Saccharomyces cerevisiae S288C: one gene and its partners. The protein of the gene in region 3 interacts with the protein of the main gene of each other region in a biochemical or structural test. Each region holds a gene or a part of one and is shown on either strand. Other genes may lie near its edges.

Evidence for each region.
Region 1: of the proteins of IPL1 (region 3) and SPC34, one has a biochemical effect on the other in vitro, tested with the Saccharomyces cerevisiae proteins (2 studies listed by BioGRID).
Region 2: of the proteins of IPL1 (region 3) and DAM1, one has a biochemical effect on the other in vitro, tested with the Saccharomyces cerevisiae proteins (7 studies listed by BioGRID).
Region 4: of the proteins of IPL1 (region 3) and MIF2, one has a biochemical effect on the other in vitro, tested with the Saccharomyces cerevisiae proteins (2 studies listed by BioGRID).

Annotation. Positions count from the first base shown.
Region 1 is NC_001143.9:509,060-513,601, forward strand, and holds SPC34 (Spc34p), read right to left. Parts: upstream 2,739-4,542; coding exon 1,851-2,738; downstream 1-1,850. Other genes in the region: CAF4 (Caf4p), read right to left, coding at 1-1,574; KAE1 (tRNA N6-adenosine threonylcarbamoyltransferase), read right to left, coding at 2,940-4,100. UniProt on the Saccharomyces cerevisiae protein: Component of the DASH complex that connects microtubules with kinetochores and couples microtubule depolymerisation to chromosome movement; it is involved in retrieving kinetochores to the spindle poles before their re-orientation on the spindle in early mitosis and allows microtubule depolymerization to pull chromosomes apart and resist detachment during anaphase.
Region 2 is NC_001139.9:717,219-720,424, forward strand, and holds DAM1 (Dam1p), read left to right. Parts: upstream 1-1,674; coding exon 1,675-2,706; downstream 2,707-3,206. Other genes in the region: cytochrome oxidase assembly protein SHY1, read left to right, coding at 140-1,309; chromatin-remodeling histone chaperone SPT6, read left to right, coding at 3,191-3,206. UniProt on the Saccharomyces cerevisiae protein: Component of the DASH complex that connects microtubules with kinetochores and couples microtubule depolymerisation to chromosome movement; it is involved in retrieving kinetochores to the spindle poles before their re-orientation on the spindle in early mitosis and allows microtubule depolymerization to pull chromosomes apart and resist detachment during anaphase.
Region 3 is NC_001148.4:155,990-159,769, reverse strand, and holds IPL1 (aurora kinase), read left to right. Parts: upstream 1-2,176; coding exon 2,177-3,280; downstream 3,281-3,780. Other genes in the region: RKM1 (protein-lysine N-methyltransferase), read right to left, coding at 177-1,928; signal recognition particle subunit SRP72, read left to right, coding at 3,558-3,780. UniProt on the Saccharomyces cerevisiae protein: Component of the chromosomal passenger complex (CPC), a complex that acts as a key regulator of chromosome segregation and cytokinesis.
Region 4 is NC_001143.9:271,520-276,893, reverse strand, and holds MIF2 (Mif2p), read right to left. Parts: upstream 3,501-5,374; coding exon 1,851-3,500; downstream 1-1,850. Other genes in the region: phosphopantothenoylcysteine decarboxylase complex subunit CAB3, read right to left, coding at 1-1,611; CUE2 (Cue2p), read right to left, coding at 3,685-5,016. UniProt on the Saccharomyces cerevisiae protein: Component of the kinetochore, a multiprotein complex that assembles on centromeric DNA and attaches chromosomes to spindle microtubules, mediating chromosome segregation and sister chromatid segregation during meiosis and mitosis.

The DNA of each region.
Region 1 (4,542 bases), on a different chromosome or scaffold from region 3:
AGTAATCTCACCGGTTTGCCAACTCTTAGATCCCATAGTCGCACAATGCCATCTTTTGTTCCTGTTGCTAATGCAGAGTTGTAACATTGGAGGGCTCCTATCATTGGTGCTTCTGTGCCAAGTAAACATGCACCATTGTTTAATGAACGTGCAGGCATTTTAATGTCGCTATGTGTAGGTGTGAAGATAAGGTCAAGTTGCTGAATACATTTGCCCGTCGTTAAATCCCAGTGGAATATTTTTTTGTCCCTAGATCCGCTAACCAAAGCTTCAGAATCAAAAGACAGGGCTGTGATTTCGTCTTTATGTAACTCAAAATTATGGATACATGGTGTAACAATTTCTTCTGTCTTCTCCTTCAATGGACTATGGTCCAAATATATTTCTCTACTCAGATTTAAGTCCCATAACTTCAGAGTGGCATCCTTACTTCCAGTAATCAACATATTGTAATTTTTCTTATCTATTTGCATGCAATTAACAGTAGCAAGGTGACCAGGCAGCTCTCCAACTTGTATCCCATGGTTCAAATCCCACACTTTTACTATACGATCTTGGTAGCTTGATGAGCACAAGGTTCCCCATGGTGTATCAAAGTCTAATGCGGTTATGCTGTTTCCATGTTCGCCATGGGGTATTGTCATTCTGAAAGCCGTGGTATTTCGGCTATATGTTTCTGAGATAATTTGCCTGTTTTTATCGTGGCTTTTTTCATGGGGCATCTTGTAAAAATCTTTTAATCTCGTATCCTTACTTTCAACATCACATAACGACGATATGGCTTCTTCATTTTGCGTGAAGGACGACGCTTCAGATGATCTTTCTTCTTCCATTTGCTTCCGTAAGCTCTGTTCACGATCAGCTTCCAAATTGTATTCCTCGATAAAATTTATTCTATCCTTTATCAGTGTTACATCATTCTCAAGATTGGTAGACTTACTATCAATGTGCTTAACCCTTTCCAGGATTTTTAATTTCCTGGATTCTAGTTCGTTGATCATGGAATCTAATCTGGTCAACTCATCCATCTCTAACGTTTTATTGATTGACAGATTTTCCACGTTAGTTTCTACATCCTCAAGTAAATGTGTTAGGTCAATTCTAGAGTACGTTTTATTCACAAAACCAGTATTAATATCCGGCAATTGAACGTATTTTTCCTTATCACTATTCGTGGCCCCGTCTACATTGTCTAACAACAGTCTCTGTTGAATGATGGAAACGGTAGCTTTGAATCCTTCAAATAAAGAAGGTAAATTCTTTTCAGCGGCACCGTTGGGTAGCGGGTATCGCTGCTCATCTAAATGAGCAAGTATTCTGAAAGTTGTTGCAGAGTCTGCATAATTGTTTTGAAAGGAAAATATCCCTACTTGTCCTTTCTGGGTATCTTTTGTACTTTCGGGCCAAGCCACCTCTCTGAACAGTAGAAGTTTGGAAAGATATCTGTAGATGGGGCTCGTTATATATTTTTGAAATTGTTGTTGCGCTAGTATGGCATGTGGTAGCTTATTAAGTATAATTTCGATTGGTTTAGCTACCAGAGAGCTTTCTCCTCTAGTATCGCCCGAACCCATATAGAGATACTCTTTTTTACTCTCGCTCGTGGTAATCTTATATGTCATTCATGGTTAGTTTTTTTTTTATGACTATTTTTTTTTTCCATTACGATGAGGAAAGTTTATGTGAGAAACATGAAGCTACATGCTTTAACAGGAGACAGACCCATGGTGGATCCGCTCAGTTGGTTTTATACATTTAGATGTAAGGTAATACATAATTATATGATTTGCAGTGGCCTATGTATGCAATTAGGACAAAGGAAATATCTATTCTTGAGGAGAAGTGCTCCCCTACTCTTGCAAGTTGGCTATCTCCATTTCTAGCCGCCTAATTTCATCTTTTTCTTTTCGAATAATCTTAGCAACGTCGTGAGAAGAAGAAGGATGGTACTGTGACATAGTCTTTAAGCGATCATCTTGAAGCAAAACTTCTTTCTTGATGAAGCGCAATTTGGAAGAAAGTTGTTCATAATTATGGTACAATTGGTCGTAATCCTGCTTGAACTCTGTTAGTGGCCATAAATCTGTTACTTCGGCCATAACTTTAAGAATTAAATCAGTAGGGAAATCCTCGACAAAGATGGTTTTTCTTCTTTGGTTATTGGATTCTTCTTCCATGAGCACGCTTCCATTTTCCAAGGCATATAGGAGCCTTTGAATTTGCGGATCATCCTTGAACACGGCTGATAATGCTTTGAATGTACCTGAACTTGAATTTGAAATGACAGAGGATCCTATAAGATCGGTATCAAAAATAAAACCGTTCAAGCCACCGCCACTTGTAGTGGCGGTTCTTCTCCTTTTATTGTTCAAATCAAGACGATCTTTGTTCAAATATACTTCCTTGGGCACATGGATGATCGGTTTTTCCCCTGGTCTGCCCAGCCTTCTATTTCTTTTCATGTCCGTATCTCGTTTAATAACATAGTCGAATACTCCCTCCTTGCCGTCTCTACGTGAAACGGATTGTTTCTCAGGGTTGACTTTGAACAGAAGATACGCCTCGTCGTGGTTACAGTCCTTTATTAGTCTAGTAATGTCTTTTCTAATGCTTGCCTTGTTGCTTGCTCCCTGTAGGATGGCATTATGAAAAATTCCTGGTGGCTTGAAATAGAGTGTGGACATAGAGTCCACCGCCCTATTAATATCATCTATACATCTATCCAAGCTTTCCCCCATTCTGTAATTGCCACGTCTTATTTTGTTAGGTGATGATCTAATTTTTTTGAGCTTTGTTTATTGATTATTTTCAAATGTCTCTTGCTTATTTTCGCGCTTCCACAAGGTTATACACTGAGCTGTAAATGTAAGGTGTATGGCATATATAAATATATATATATATTCGTAGTGTGAACATTAGGCTAACTGTAACAAAAATCGTTAATCACGCCAGGCTGCGTATACTTCATCGGTTCTGAATTTCTGCGTAACAACAGTTTCAGAAAAGTCCTTCACGATCCCACCCATTCTATACTCTAGTAGTCCTGCTTGGGCAATCATAACTCCGTTATCGATACAAAACCTATTATCTGTAGCATGTACTTGCCCATTGGCCCTGTCTTTACACATTTGCGCCATCATTTCTTGTAATCGCACGTTACAACCAACACCGCCTACGATCAAAACTTGATTGGAGTTAACGTGAGCCATAGCTCTTTCTGTTATTTCAACTAGCATGGCGAATAGGTTCTCTTGCAGAGAGTAGCAAAGATCCTCTACAGTGACTTTTTGCTCGCCCGTTGTCTTGTCGAATAGGATCTTATTTTTCTTATTGCCCTTAAATAGATCCTTGGCAAGTAAATCGATGGAAGCCAATATACCACTCATCGAAAGATCCATCCCCTTTACTGTATAGGGAAGTTCTACCAAGTTTTCTTTGTGAGGGGCTTTTTTAGCTAACTGCTCGATGTTGTAGCCAGGCGAGGGCTCATTAGGTATCTTCAGAGTTCTTGCAAATCTATCAAGACAATTACCGATAGCAATATCAAGCGTTTCACCAAAGATACGGTACCTTTTTTCCGAGTATGCAATAACTTGTGTATTTCCACCACTTACATACAGTACCACAGGATTTTGAGCTTTAGTGATTTCTCTCCCCATTTCGATGTGACCAATGCAGTGGTTTACTCCCACCAGTGGCACGTCCCACAGTAAGGAGCACGTTCTGGCGGCGATGACAACTGAATGCAGAGGGGCCCCCATGCCGGGACCTTTGGTAAAGCAAATTACATCAATGTCTAGTGTCGGGCTTTTGATGTCAGCTTCGGCCAGTGCTTGTTTTATGAGTCTTATGCACCAATTTCTGTGATGCCTTGCCGTGTCTCGAGGCAAAAATCCCTCCCCAGGAGGTGTGACATATGTGTCTCTAATATTAGAAAGCATCTCAGCTTCGCAATCATAAGATAGATCGCTGTTGGCATGTTTAGGCAGAAGCGGATGCTTAACTATACCAACGCCCAGTTTATTTGCAGAACCTTCAAGTCCAAGCGCAATGTAGTAGTCCCTGCCATTTTTGGGTGGGATAGTGTTCAAGTTGACCATTTTGCTCCCGACTGCATTAGGGAACGCTTGGGAATTCCCTTCACGTAAAAGATAAATATATGCATCGTTGCACGAAGTAAAAATGGTTACTCTCGAACTCATCATAATGAAAGAATTCAGTTTTTCCGTATAAAGCGATATTACAGGAGGAATAAAAAGCAAAATAAAAAATCTCCGCGACGGGGAATTGAACCCCGATCTGGCACGCGACAAGCGCCCATTCTGACCATTAAACTATCACGGAACGTTATTTGTTGGATTTTTTCTCTTAGTTTTAAATATTTATATTTCGTCGAATTGGTACCTCTACAGCTCAGAAGCAGATGTCTTCAAGTTTTTTTATTGTGTCTAAATAAGAATCAACCATTATCTTGACAAATGGGTGAATTTTAAGATAATTGTTGGGATGCCATTGATGATAAAGACTATAATATACATACAC
Region 2 (3,206 bases), on a different chromosome or scaffold from region 3:
TAGCCGAGTATATTTAAGGGATTCTTATGCAATGATGAAATATTTTTCACCTATAACGCCGACTACTGAAAACAGAGGGCCATCTTAACCGTTTTGCATTCAGTAACCCATACTCAGGATTTAATAAAAGAGGAAAGCAATGTCTCTACTAGGCGCCAGGTCCACTTACCGTTGGTTTTCAATCGCTGCATCAATTCCGACTAAGAATGCTATTGGCAAATCCACGTACCTCTTAGCTTCAAGAAATCAACAGTACCGAGGCATCATAACGTCAACTGTAGACTGGAAACCAATCAAGACAGGTAAGAGCCCAAATGATGATTCTCGAAGAGAAAGATCCTTTGGCAAGAAAATTGTTCTGGGTCTGATGTTCGCGATGCCAATAATATCCTTCTATTTGGGAACTTGGCAAGTAAGGAGATTGAAGTGGAAAACCAAGCTGATTGCGGCATGCGAAACTAAACTTACTTATGAACCAATACCACTTCCTAAGTCATTTACACCTGACATGTGCGAGGATTGGGAATACCGTAAAGTTATACTTACCGGACACTTCCTTCACAATGAAGAGATGTTTGTTGGTCCAAGAAAGAAAAATGGAGAAAAGGGTTATTTTCTGTTTACACCGTTCATTAGAGATGACACCGGTGAGAAAGTTCTGATAGAAAGAGGGTGGATAAGTGAAGAAAAAGTTGCTCCTGACTCAAGAAATTTACACCATTTGTCGTTGCCTCAAGAAGAACACTTGAAAGTGGTTTGCTTAGTAAGACCTCCAAAGAAAAGAGGCTCGCTACAATGGGCGAAAAAGGATCCAAATTCTAGATTGTGGCAGGTGCCAGACATATATGACATGGCAAGATCATCAGGGTGCACGCCCATTCAATTTCAAGCCTTGTATGACATGAAGGACCATCCAATAATCGAGGAACACACAAGAAACGAGGCTTCACAAAACAATTCCACCTCTAGCCTGTGGAAGTTCTGGAAACGAGAACCTACGACTGCTGTAAACGGAACGCAAGCTGTTGATAATAATACATCGAAGCCTCGTTCTAGGCAGGAAATGCCGACAGACCAAACAATTGAATTCGATGAACGACAGTTTATCAAAGCAGGTGTTCCCATAGGCCGGAAGCCCACTATTGATTTAAAGAATAACCATCTACAATATTTGGTAACGTGGTATGGCCTTTCGTTTTTGAGCACAATCTTCCTCATTGTGGCTCTTAGGAAGGCGAAAAGAGGGGGCGTTGTGTCCCAAGACCAACTAATGAAAGAGAAACTGAAGCATTCAAGGAAATATATGTAAACGGCAAACTCCTCTGCCCATACTATCGAACTCTATCCAAGAAGCGCGTAATTTCACGAGCACTGCCTAAACGGTTTTCCACATTAGTTTTGCAACTACAATGATTCGGATATGGCACATTTACATAATTTAAACTTGTACATAACTAACACCTTTTTATCCATATACCTTATGTGCCGCTCAAGATATGAACATTGCGCGTTGCCCGGACAATATCGATAAATAATAGCCAAAACAAACATGTTTTATCGACGCATGAATCCTTTGGCGTTAAACTTGTCCAATTGCACTGAAACTTGGAGCGTATAAGCTCAGCAATTGCACCAAAACAATATCAGAAAAGGCTTGTATTGCCACTTTCACCTATGAGCGAAGATAAAGCTAAATTAGGGACCACAAGGTCTGCCACGGAATATCGTTTATCCATTGGTAGCGCTCCGACTTCAAGAAGGTCGTCTATGGGTGAATCCTCATCCCTGATGAAATTTGCTGATCAAGAGGGATTAACGAGTTCCGTTGGCGAATATAACGAGAATACCATACAACAGCTTCTGTTGCCTAAAATAAGAGAACTGAGCGATTCAATCATTACTTTAGATTCCAATTTCACGCGCTTAAATTTTATCCACGAGAGTTTAGCTGATCTTAATGAATCCCTAGGTTCGTTGTTGTACGGTATTATGAGCAATTCATGGTGCGTAGAATTCTCACAGGCGCCTCATGATATTCAAGACGATTTGATCGCTATTAAACAATTGAAATCGTTGGAAGATGAGAAAAATAACTTAGTAATGGAACTCTCCAATATGGAACGCGGGATTAAAAGAAAAAAAGACGAACAAGGTGAAAATGATTTGGCCAAGGCATCTCAGAACAAACAGTTTAACCAGCCGCTATTTCCCTCCTCACAAGTAAGAAAATACAGGTCATATGACAACAGAGACAAGAGGAAGCCCTCCAAGATAGGCAACAACTTACAAGTAGAGAATGAGGAGGACTATGAAGACGATACTAGTAGTGAAGCTTCTTTTGTTCTAAATCCAACAAATATCGGTATGTCCAAATCATCTCAAGGTCACGTGACTAAAACCACGCGTTTGAATAATAATACCAACAGTAAACTGAGAAGAAAGTCCATCTTACATACAATCAGAAATAGCATTGCTTCCGGCGCTGATTTACCCATCGAAAACGACAATGTTGTTAATTTGGGAGATCTGCATCCAAATAATCGAATATCACTCGGAAGTGGTGCTGCAAGAGTGGTCAATGGGCCCGTTACGAAGAACAGAAATTCAATGTTCTCAGGACGTGCTGAAAGGAAACCCACAGAAAGCAGACATTCTGTTGCAAAGAAAACTGAAAAAAAAATAAATACAAGGCCCCCCTTCAGATGACTACGCCCAACCCAACCAAAGAATTATCCTCCTCACAAAATATATCGCTAGCATGCGTGAGTTATGGATAAGAAGAATATTTGATGAGCTGACTGATTCTTTATAGCAATAGGGAGGAAGGCAGTACACATATCAGCAGTGCATGGGCACAACCCGCATTACAACGAAACATGATATATCTATATAAAAGAAGATACGGACAGGCGGTCGAGGCTATTACTGTGCCACTATGCGAGTCATGAATGATTTTTAAATTAGTTAGTACCCCTTTATATAACGTCTTCAATAAAAGTGCGGGAAAATTCGGGTAATATTTTCTATAACTGTCATTTTTTTTTCGTTATGTATGGCAAACCAAATTGACAAGAAACTGGACAACGGTTAAAGCAAAAGGAGGAAGAAAGATATTGATTTGTGCTTTGAAGAATAACCCAAGCGAACAGGTCATTAATTGCCTAGAATCTTTACATAGAATTTGCCTTTTATGGAAGAGACGGGAG
Region 3 (3,780 bases):
ATGTTTTATACACAAATATCGGGCATCGCAGCTCCATGGCGAAAAATTTCATCGAAGCCATATTCGGATACCCGGGACACTTCTGACCAATGAGAACCCAGTTTGTTAGTAAGTGCATTTATTAAATAAGTGCAGATGTAATTACGTACTCTACTCTAACATTCTATAAGGAAAAGCTACTTACGTACTAAAATAGTCTCTTCGGTTGTAGATGAAGTTCTGGTAAAGGAATTGTCTACTACAAACTGAATCGCATGATCTACTTCGGCCAAATCCACATCGTCTTGCTTCTCGAAGTATGCAGTATGGAAAGCCTTGGCATCATCTGAAATATATGCAGTTTGCTTGAAATTAGTATACTGCTGTCCAACCCATTCATATTTGGTGGGGTAAGAATTCTTTTTCGTTTTCAGTAGAATCCAAAGTATCAATAAATCATAAGTAGATTCAAAGATGACCTCTTCACCATCTTCGTTGCTGAACAGCGAAGGTAATTCAGTTTCTGCAAAAGCAGGGTCATTCTTAAGAATTTTGCTCATGGTTAGCAATTGGTGCTTGTTCTCTGACAGCATTGTTTTTTCTAGTTTTTTCAACCTCGTTAAAGCCTCTTTTAAAATTTGTTTTTGACCTTTAGTATAAACGTCAGCACAATAGACTCTGTAAGGATCAATTGCATAAGAGTCATCAGTTGCAGGTGGTCCAGTAATGCTGTTGAGTTTGCTCTGCAATGCATTTCGTAGCATTTGTATACCCTGCAAACGGGCTCTCAAATCGTGTAGATCCTCCTCTTCGGCCTTAGAAAGGTAGGTAAAAAGATCCAGTAATGGTTCTAAACATTGTTCATTTTGTATGTTAATGAAGTAAGTCACCCCATTGATGTAGTCTGTAGCACTACGAGTAGCCTTCTTTTCTTGCTGGACACAGTCTTTGTTTTCAAAAGCATAAGTGGTGTAATCCGAAAGTAAGGGCAGCTTCAAACTAGGTTCTGTTTCAAGAATTGTAGATACCACATCTAATGGCAATTTAACTTTCAAAGCCACTGAGTCAAATATGTTGTCTTCTAAAACAAATCCATATCCAGAGAGTAACTCCTCATTTCCCTTACCGCCATAATTATTTGATAGTTCTCGTGATTGGGAGGCGGTACCGATTTTTTCATAACAGAACCACCCATTTTCAGGATACCATTTGACTTTGGAACGGTAGTCATGATTTAGAAGATCGACGATGGGAAGCAGTACAATAGAGTTGTCAGGACAGTTTCTGTTTAGCACATATTCAGGGAATGCTCTTGAAATGAATATAAGGTGCGACCATAAAAATGCAGGAAAAGAATACCAGATAGTTGGTCTTTGAAGTTCTGTTATCTTCAAAATCTTCTCATACAAAGCCTCATATGTCAACTCATCGAGATTATGGAAGGTCTGCACATCATCTGCCACTCTTTCCAAGTCAAACATATCTGAAGAACTGACCAGTTCAAACCACTCTTTAAATATACCTTCGAACTTTTCATGAATCGAATTCCCTATGTTTGTAGATGATAAACGCTTCAACTCGCTTGGGTTCCAGACCAAGGGCGAATTTAGGCGGGAAGGCAATGCATCCAAGTAAGGTTTAAATTTATCATTCACACGAACATTGTCCACGATAGTATCATTATCCCTATCAAATTTTATTTTTGCGAAGAACAACTTCAGCCATCCGTTGATATTCTTAGTGGATTCACTTAGCCCAAAAAACTTCATGGGCAGATTCCTTGAAATGACAATCTCGGGAGGAATCTTGATGCTGGGATTGTCTATATCTTTTTCACATACGCAAATAATGCCCTTAAGATCGGTATATAAAAACTTGAGTTCCTCTGGCACTATTACACCAAATGACGCACCCCACTGAAGTAGTGCTTTTAACGCATCTGATGACATGATAGTCTTCTCTTGTATCTATAACCTTTGTGCTCCATTTTCCGATACAGCATTGCTTATTGAACAGTAAGTTTAACTTCACGCGTTTTTCCTGTAAAGCGCTTAATTTGTTTACCATTCTATAAAAACCTTGAGCTAAGGCCAACTGATGCAATTGCTCAAGTGAATGCATAAACAAAGCAAGATCATTCTTAGCGCAAAAAAAACTGGGATTTTGAAATACAACAAAAGAAAGAAGTAAAAAGGGAATGCAACGCAATAGTTTAGTAAATATCAAACTAAACGCTAATTCGCCATCGAAAAAGACCACAACAAGACCAAATACGTCCAGGATCAATAAACCATGGAGAATATCCCATTCGCCGCAGCAAAGAAACCCGAATTCAAAAATACCTTCACCTGTAAGAGAAAAATTGAACAGATTACCTGTAAACAATAAGAAGTTTTTGGATATGGAAAGCTCCAAAATTCCATCACCTATAAGGAAAGCGACTTCTTCCAAAATGATACACGAAAATAAGAAGCTACCTAAATTTAAATCCCTATCACTCGATGACTTTGAACTGGGGAAGAAATTAGGAAAGGGTAAATTCGGTAAAGTTTATTGCGTTCGGCACAGGAGTACAGGATATATTTGCGCACTGAAAGTAATGGAGAAGGAAGAAATAATAAAGTATAATTTACAGAAACAATTCAGAAGGGAGGTAGAAATACAAACATCGCTAAATCATCCGAATCTAACTAAATCATACGGCTATTTTCATGATGAAAAAAGAGTGTACCTGCTAATGGAATACTTAGTCAATGGGGAAATGTATAAACTATTGAGGTTACACGGACCCTTCAACGATATTTTAGCATCAGATTATATTTATCAAATTGCCAATGCCCTAGATTATATGCATAAAAAGAATATTATTCATAGAGATATTAAACCTGAAAATATACTAATAGGGTTCAATAATGTCATTAAGTTAACGGACTTCGGATGGAGTATAATAAATCCGCCAGAAAATAGAAGGAAAACTGTCTGTGGGACAATTGACTACCTTTCTCCAGAAATGGTGGAGTCAAGGGAATATGATCACACTATAGATGCATGGGCTCTTGGCGTCCTGGCGTTTGAACTACTGACCGGTGCCCCTCCGTTCGAAGAAGAAATGAAAGATACTACATATAAAAGGATAGCAGCACTGGATATCAAAATGCCCAGTAACATTTCTCAGGATGCGCAAGATTTAATACTTAAACTACTAAAATACGACCCCAAAGATAGAATGCGCCTTGGAGACGTAAAAATGCATCCTTGGATACTAAGAAACAAGCCCTTTTGGGAAAATAAGCGGTTATAGAATTAAAGTATGACAGAATCGTTTGAAGGGCACTATTAATCACTCCCGCACATATCACATAATACTAAGTATCCATTTCTAATATTTCATTACTCTTTTCGGCATCGTATATTGCGATATTTGATTAAATTTTCTTGTTCATTTTTTCCTCTTTTCTTTCGCCTTTGTCGAAAGAAAAGAGGAAAACAAGCTGAAAATTGCTATGCATTAAAGTAGCAGATTTACTTTGTTGAGTTGGTTCTGATCAATAATAAGAGTAATGAAAGAAAGCAAAAAAATGGCTAAAGATAATTTAACTAATTTGCTCTCTCAATTGAACATTCAATTGTCTCAAGACGAGCATTCGCAGGTCGAACAGACTTGCGTGAAACTATTGGATTCTGGATGTGAGAATCCAGCGGATGTATTTAGACGTTGCTTAGTAGCTGTTATCCAACAGGACAAGTATCAAAAGGCTTTACATTATTTAAAAAAATTCAAACATATAGATGACAAGTACG
Region 4 (5,374 bases), on a different chromosome or scaffold from region 3:
ATCCTCTTCGTCATCCTCATCATCGTCGTCCTCATTGTCAGCACCCTCTTGTTCTTCTTGTTCTTGCTCTTTATCACCAGTTTCCTCGTCCCTAGCTTTCCGTATTTCATTGATTCTCCTCCTAACGATCTCTACAATATCTGTCCATTCTCTCATACCACCCATACCAATATCTCCGCATATTAATACCTTTTCCACCGGTTTCAAAACTTGGATGAACGGATAGTCTTGCACTAAACTCGTCAGGTGTTTCTTTGTCATAGGATTGATATACATGAATGTATTCATTGCAGGCGCAATCAACACTGGGGTCAGTGGTGACCAATCTCTCATCACAGAAGTTAGCAAATTGTTACATATACCATTGGCCAGTTTAGCAAGTGTGTTAGCTGACAAAGGCGCAATCAGGAAAATATCAGCCCATTTTCTTAATTCATGGTGCAATATCAAGTTCAGACTCAAGCTAGTATCATTCTTATTCACAGCGTCGAATACCCAAGCGTCTTCCTCCCTCCAAATTTTAACGTGTGTTGACATTTTGAGCCCTTTCAAAAAATGCTCAGCGGGTTTTGTGACAATCAACTGAATAGAGATTTTCTCAGGCCCATATATCTTGAAAAGTTTATCAATAATTAGAGGTACTTTTATTGTGGCAACTGAGCCCGTCGCACCAATGAGAATGTGGAATTTCTTGTCGTCTTCCTTCTGAAAGAACTCTGTGAAGGGTACACGAGGCCCTGTGGGTGCAGTGATAACTTCCTTGTTTTTATGTGTGGAGTTATTAGCCGATAATGGCGCCGCCTTTGCAGTGATAGGTTTAGAAGCGTTTGACTTGGGATTGAAGTAGATAAAATCACCTGGCATATGAACGATAGAATTTTTTTCCATCGAAGGTGAATCTACTTCATCTTCGCTATTGCTCGTACCACTCGATACCGAATGTTTCCTGATATCAGTACCATCATTAGTAGTGTTCTCCTTAAATATTGCATTCGCTATCCTCTCCTTTTCGTCTATCAGTTGCTGTCTTTCAGTTTGCTTTTTTTGCACTTGCTCCTGAATTTGCTTCACCTCTTCTTGCTGTTTTGCTCGTTGATTTTGCTCCTGCAGTTGTGCCTTTTGCTGCTCTTCTTGTTGTTGATTTTGCTGCAGTTGTTCCTGCTGCTGCTGCTGCTTTCCAGGTTTATTGGATATCGAATATCTATGATACGGCAACCTTTCCACCTCGGGCACCGTAAATGAAACAGCAGAAGGTAATGAAGGTGAAAACCTTTTTTGCTGGCCATTTGTATTAGCTGGCATACTGGTGTTGATCTGTATTTCATGGCCATCTTTGTTCCTTTCACTATTTTGCTTCAGATTGGCAAAAGAGAAATCCCTCAAATTTGTGCTATAATCGTTTTTGTAAATATTCCTCCTATTAGAGTTGGATTTTGATTGATCTTCATGACTATCAGATCTTTCGAAATTTGATTCATCGTGAATACTTTTTCTTCTCTCCTTGTTGGTCAAAATTGAAACCGGCACTTGTGTTGTAGGCAAGGATGAAATTAAGTTAACTCCCTGCTTACCGTTCATATTCTGATCTGAGTTCACTTTTTCATCCGTCATCACACCTAATAACTCTTTGCTGGTCCTTTAGACTTTTATTTAAATATGCTAACTAAGTGTTACTTTACTGTTCTTTCTCTTTTTCTGCTTTTTGTTCTCTCATCTACGAAAGTTCGGTGCGAAATTTTACGTGATTCATTTTCTTACAGAAAAGTTCACATGTTTAACAGTATAAGCGTATGGACCTAGTTATATTTCTTCAGTACATAGCATGCATAATGAGAATATTCACATCATAATTACCCAAAAGTGTCAAACGTACTGTCTAATTCTTTGTCGTTGTCATCGTTAGCGTCTTCTGAAACGGTCACTTGAACGAAGAACATTTTGGCTTCATCATTCCCTCTATTGGCAATCGCGTACTCGTTGAATGCCGGTATTTGGAAAGTGGAACCTTTAACGCTCAAGAACTTGTTCTTACATACAGTTACTTCGACTATTCCCTGTATCACGTGGAACGTAATATATGTCCTAAATGAGTTGCTTAATTTCTTTTGTCCAGAAATAGCTGGTAGTTTTAATATGCCGCTAGCAAAATATTCTTTATGCTTATCGAACATTATCTCAAGGGCAAAATTCTCGTCCTTCGTGTCTTTTACTTGTTCAGTTTGCGACAAATTGGGCGCGAATGCAATAATTTCATCCTTAGTTTCCTCCTTAGTGTCGCTAATTTTCACATTAGCTTCCAGTATTCCATGTTTCAGCCACTCGCCATTTTCTATGCCTCCAGATTCTATCCTTTCTATAATATCCTCGTTGGGATCTTCTGGAATCAAATTTTCCTTTGCATTTGGATCCTTCTTTGGCCTTCCTCTTGGTCTCCCCGTAGGTACGTAGTTGTAAGGTCTGGTTGGTGTAGGTTTTTTTTTTTGTTTCTTCCTTCTTTGTGCTGCCAATATCTCCTCTTCGTCTTCAGATTCATCATATGTGACAATTTTGTCTATGTCAAGAACGGGTTTATTGGACTTCCTCTTATATACTATTTTTTCGTTCCTCCAATACTGCAAAGGCGCCACCTTGACTCTTGTAGATTTCCGAAGCCCGTTTCTATCAATTATTGAATCTGTACGAACCACATCACTCGCTTGTCGTCTTATATAATCATCTTCATTGTCATTTGTGTTCACCTCAGCCTCCTCTTCTACTTCTTGATAGGTGTTATCTCCATCTGAATCACTGGCTGAATCCGAGCCTGAATCCAAAGATGAGTCACTTTCAATGTAATCACCGTCCTCTTCACTTTCAGGTATAAACCCGTCATCTTCTAATTCGTCTTCTAATAATGCGTTATCAGATGTGTTTAAAGAAGTGTTTACTCTATCATCGTCATCCTCATCAGCAACCAAATCAGGTACATCTGAATAAACATTCTTATTAGTGATTCTATCAGGTGTCAACCTTACAGAAGGGCTTTCTGAAGTGTCAAGGCTATACCGAGTGGAGTACTTTCTTTTATATGTAGGTTTACTCAATTTCTGTGTGATTGGTGTGGCAAAATCATTGCCTCTGATATCATTTTCTTCTTGTTCTGGTTCTTCCTCAATAGGCTCGAAATCATTGGCTGGACTCAGGAAGTTTGATTGATGGCTTAACAAAGATGATCGTCTTGATCCATCGCCTTTCCCAGATGGGCTTTGGACAACTTCATCATCTTGAGATTTATATGACTGTAGAAATGGCGGTAATACGTTCTTAGTATCGCCATTTAACGTTGATGGTAAGAAAAGCGATGATTTTCTTCTGCTTTTCCTTCTCATACTGATAAGACTAGTTTCATCATCTTTGAAAAAATCATCAATATTTTCCATGCTGTATTCATCTTTGGGTATATCTTGCTTAACATCAATACCAGTTTTACGGGACTTAAGCCCCAATTTCATATAATCCATGAGTGAAGTGCTGTCCTGTGCTAATGTCTAACTTATTTGTTTAACGTATGTATTTTTCTAACATTCATTTATTTACATCACCATTTCTAACGCGTTATATTATTTTTCTCGAAATTGAGAAAAAACCCAATGCAGTTTAAAGAAGCCTAGCGTTTATAACCTTTATAGAAAAATCAGATAGGTTTTATTTCTTCTTCTTACCCTCAATTCTGAAGTAGGAAGATTCTTCCCAAAATATGTAGTGATTTTTTTCAAGAAAACTTTTAACCTGCAGTCGAACCTTTGAGATCCCGCCGATGCTGTGGATACCTCTACCAGTTACCACGATTAACGGGCTTACAAACTGTACTTTTGAGCCATATGAGTTTATGTTGTGGGAGTTCAACTCTCGTTCTGCTACCTCTTTGGACCACCACTTATTTAATGCAAGTTTCAGTGTTGAAACCGCTTCACTGGGAAGAAAACCATGGAAATCCAATCTGTATGTTTGAAACAGGTTATTTATAACCGGCACAGCTCCCTCGGGGGTTTCTTTGTCATGAAGGGGCAATTTATAAGTATTTCCTACCTCATTTCTGCGGGAAATCTGCGGTGTTGAAAATTTGGGTAAATGTTGCTTACAATTATCTCTGGATGTCAAGGTAAAACCTTCGTCAAAGTTCCAAGTTTTCGTAATATTCTTGTCATCTTCGATCAATAAGGACGATATGTTCAACACCTTTACAACATCTCCATCATAAAATTGCAGGCATTTTTGCAAAAATTCATGGTTTATGGCTTTGAGATCGCGATTATCTGCAACTAATTCATTTAACTCAACCATCTGCGGACTATCCAAGGAGTGCTTATAACTCCTTGGCCTTTTGAGACTCTCTTGAGCAACATTTGCGGATTCTTTACCCTTTTTCAAAACGTGGGCAAGCCCCGTCGATGATTGAACTCGACCACCTCTCACAGTCGTATTAGGACTCCGTTTTACTTTGAAAGTATCCACATCTTTTTTAAAATCCCTTTTGTCGTAATAATCCAAAATGATTTTGATGATCGCCTTTACTGTATCAAAACCATTTTCGGCTAAGTATTCCTGCGCAATATTTTTGGGAGCGTCGGTAAACTTTATTATACTCTCTATGTGATCGTTTGTTGATTCCCAATTATTTTTCTTTTCGTTCCTTTTTACGCTATCAGGAGAATTTGCTTGATTGTCTTTAAGTTTTTGCAGGGTTTCATAATTCAGAAGATCAGAAATAGTCGATTCTACGGACTTCTCATTTATTACAAACTGATCTTTTATAACGCTGCAATCAAGCTGAGGAAACATGTCGTACAGTTGATGTAATTCATTATCAACTGTAGACTTATCGTCGTTTTCTTTTAACAGCAAGCCTATCGTTAAATCCAAATCATTATTGTTTTCAAGTAAATGTACTTGTAATTTGGATTTGGAAATAGCTGGAAACATGTCCATCAAGATTGACAATTTAGATTCATGGTCATCATTGTTATCCATACTCATTGCATGATCTTATATGCACGATAAATGAGGTGTCATAATTGCTTTATATTGATATACTGAAGGCGAATATCGCTGTTGAAATTTGAATTTTTTCGCATTTTTTTTTTTAACAGTGAATATCTTGGTGATAGAGGCAATTTCCAAACTGTGAAAGCAATATATCCTGATACATAATTCAGTACGTATGTTTGTTGATTTATATTTCATACGTATTCCTCTACGGTTTCAAACGTCTCCCCTGAGGCTTGTCTGTGAGTGTCCAGCGACGTTAAAGTAACATATGTTTGTTCTACGATATCTAGAATAAGTCTCCTTATAGTGTCAGTCTTTTCCATTCAGGATCGAGCACAACAGTTTT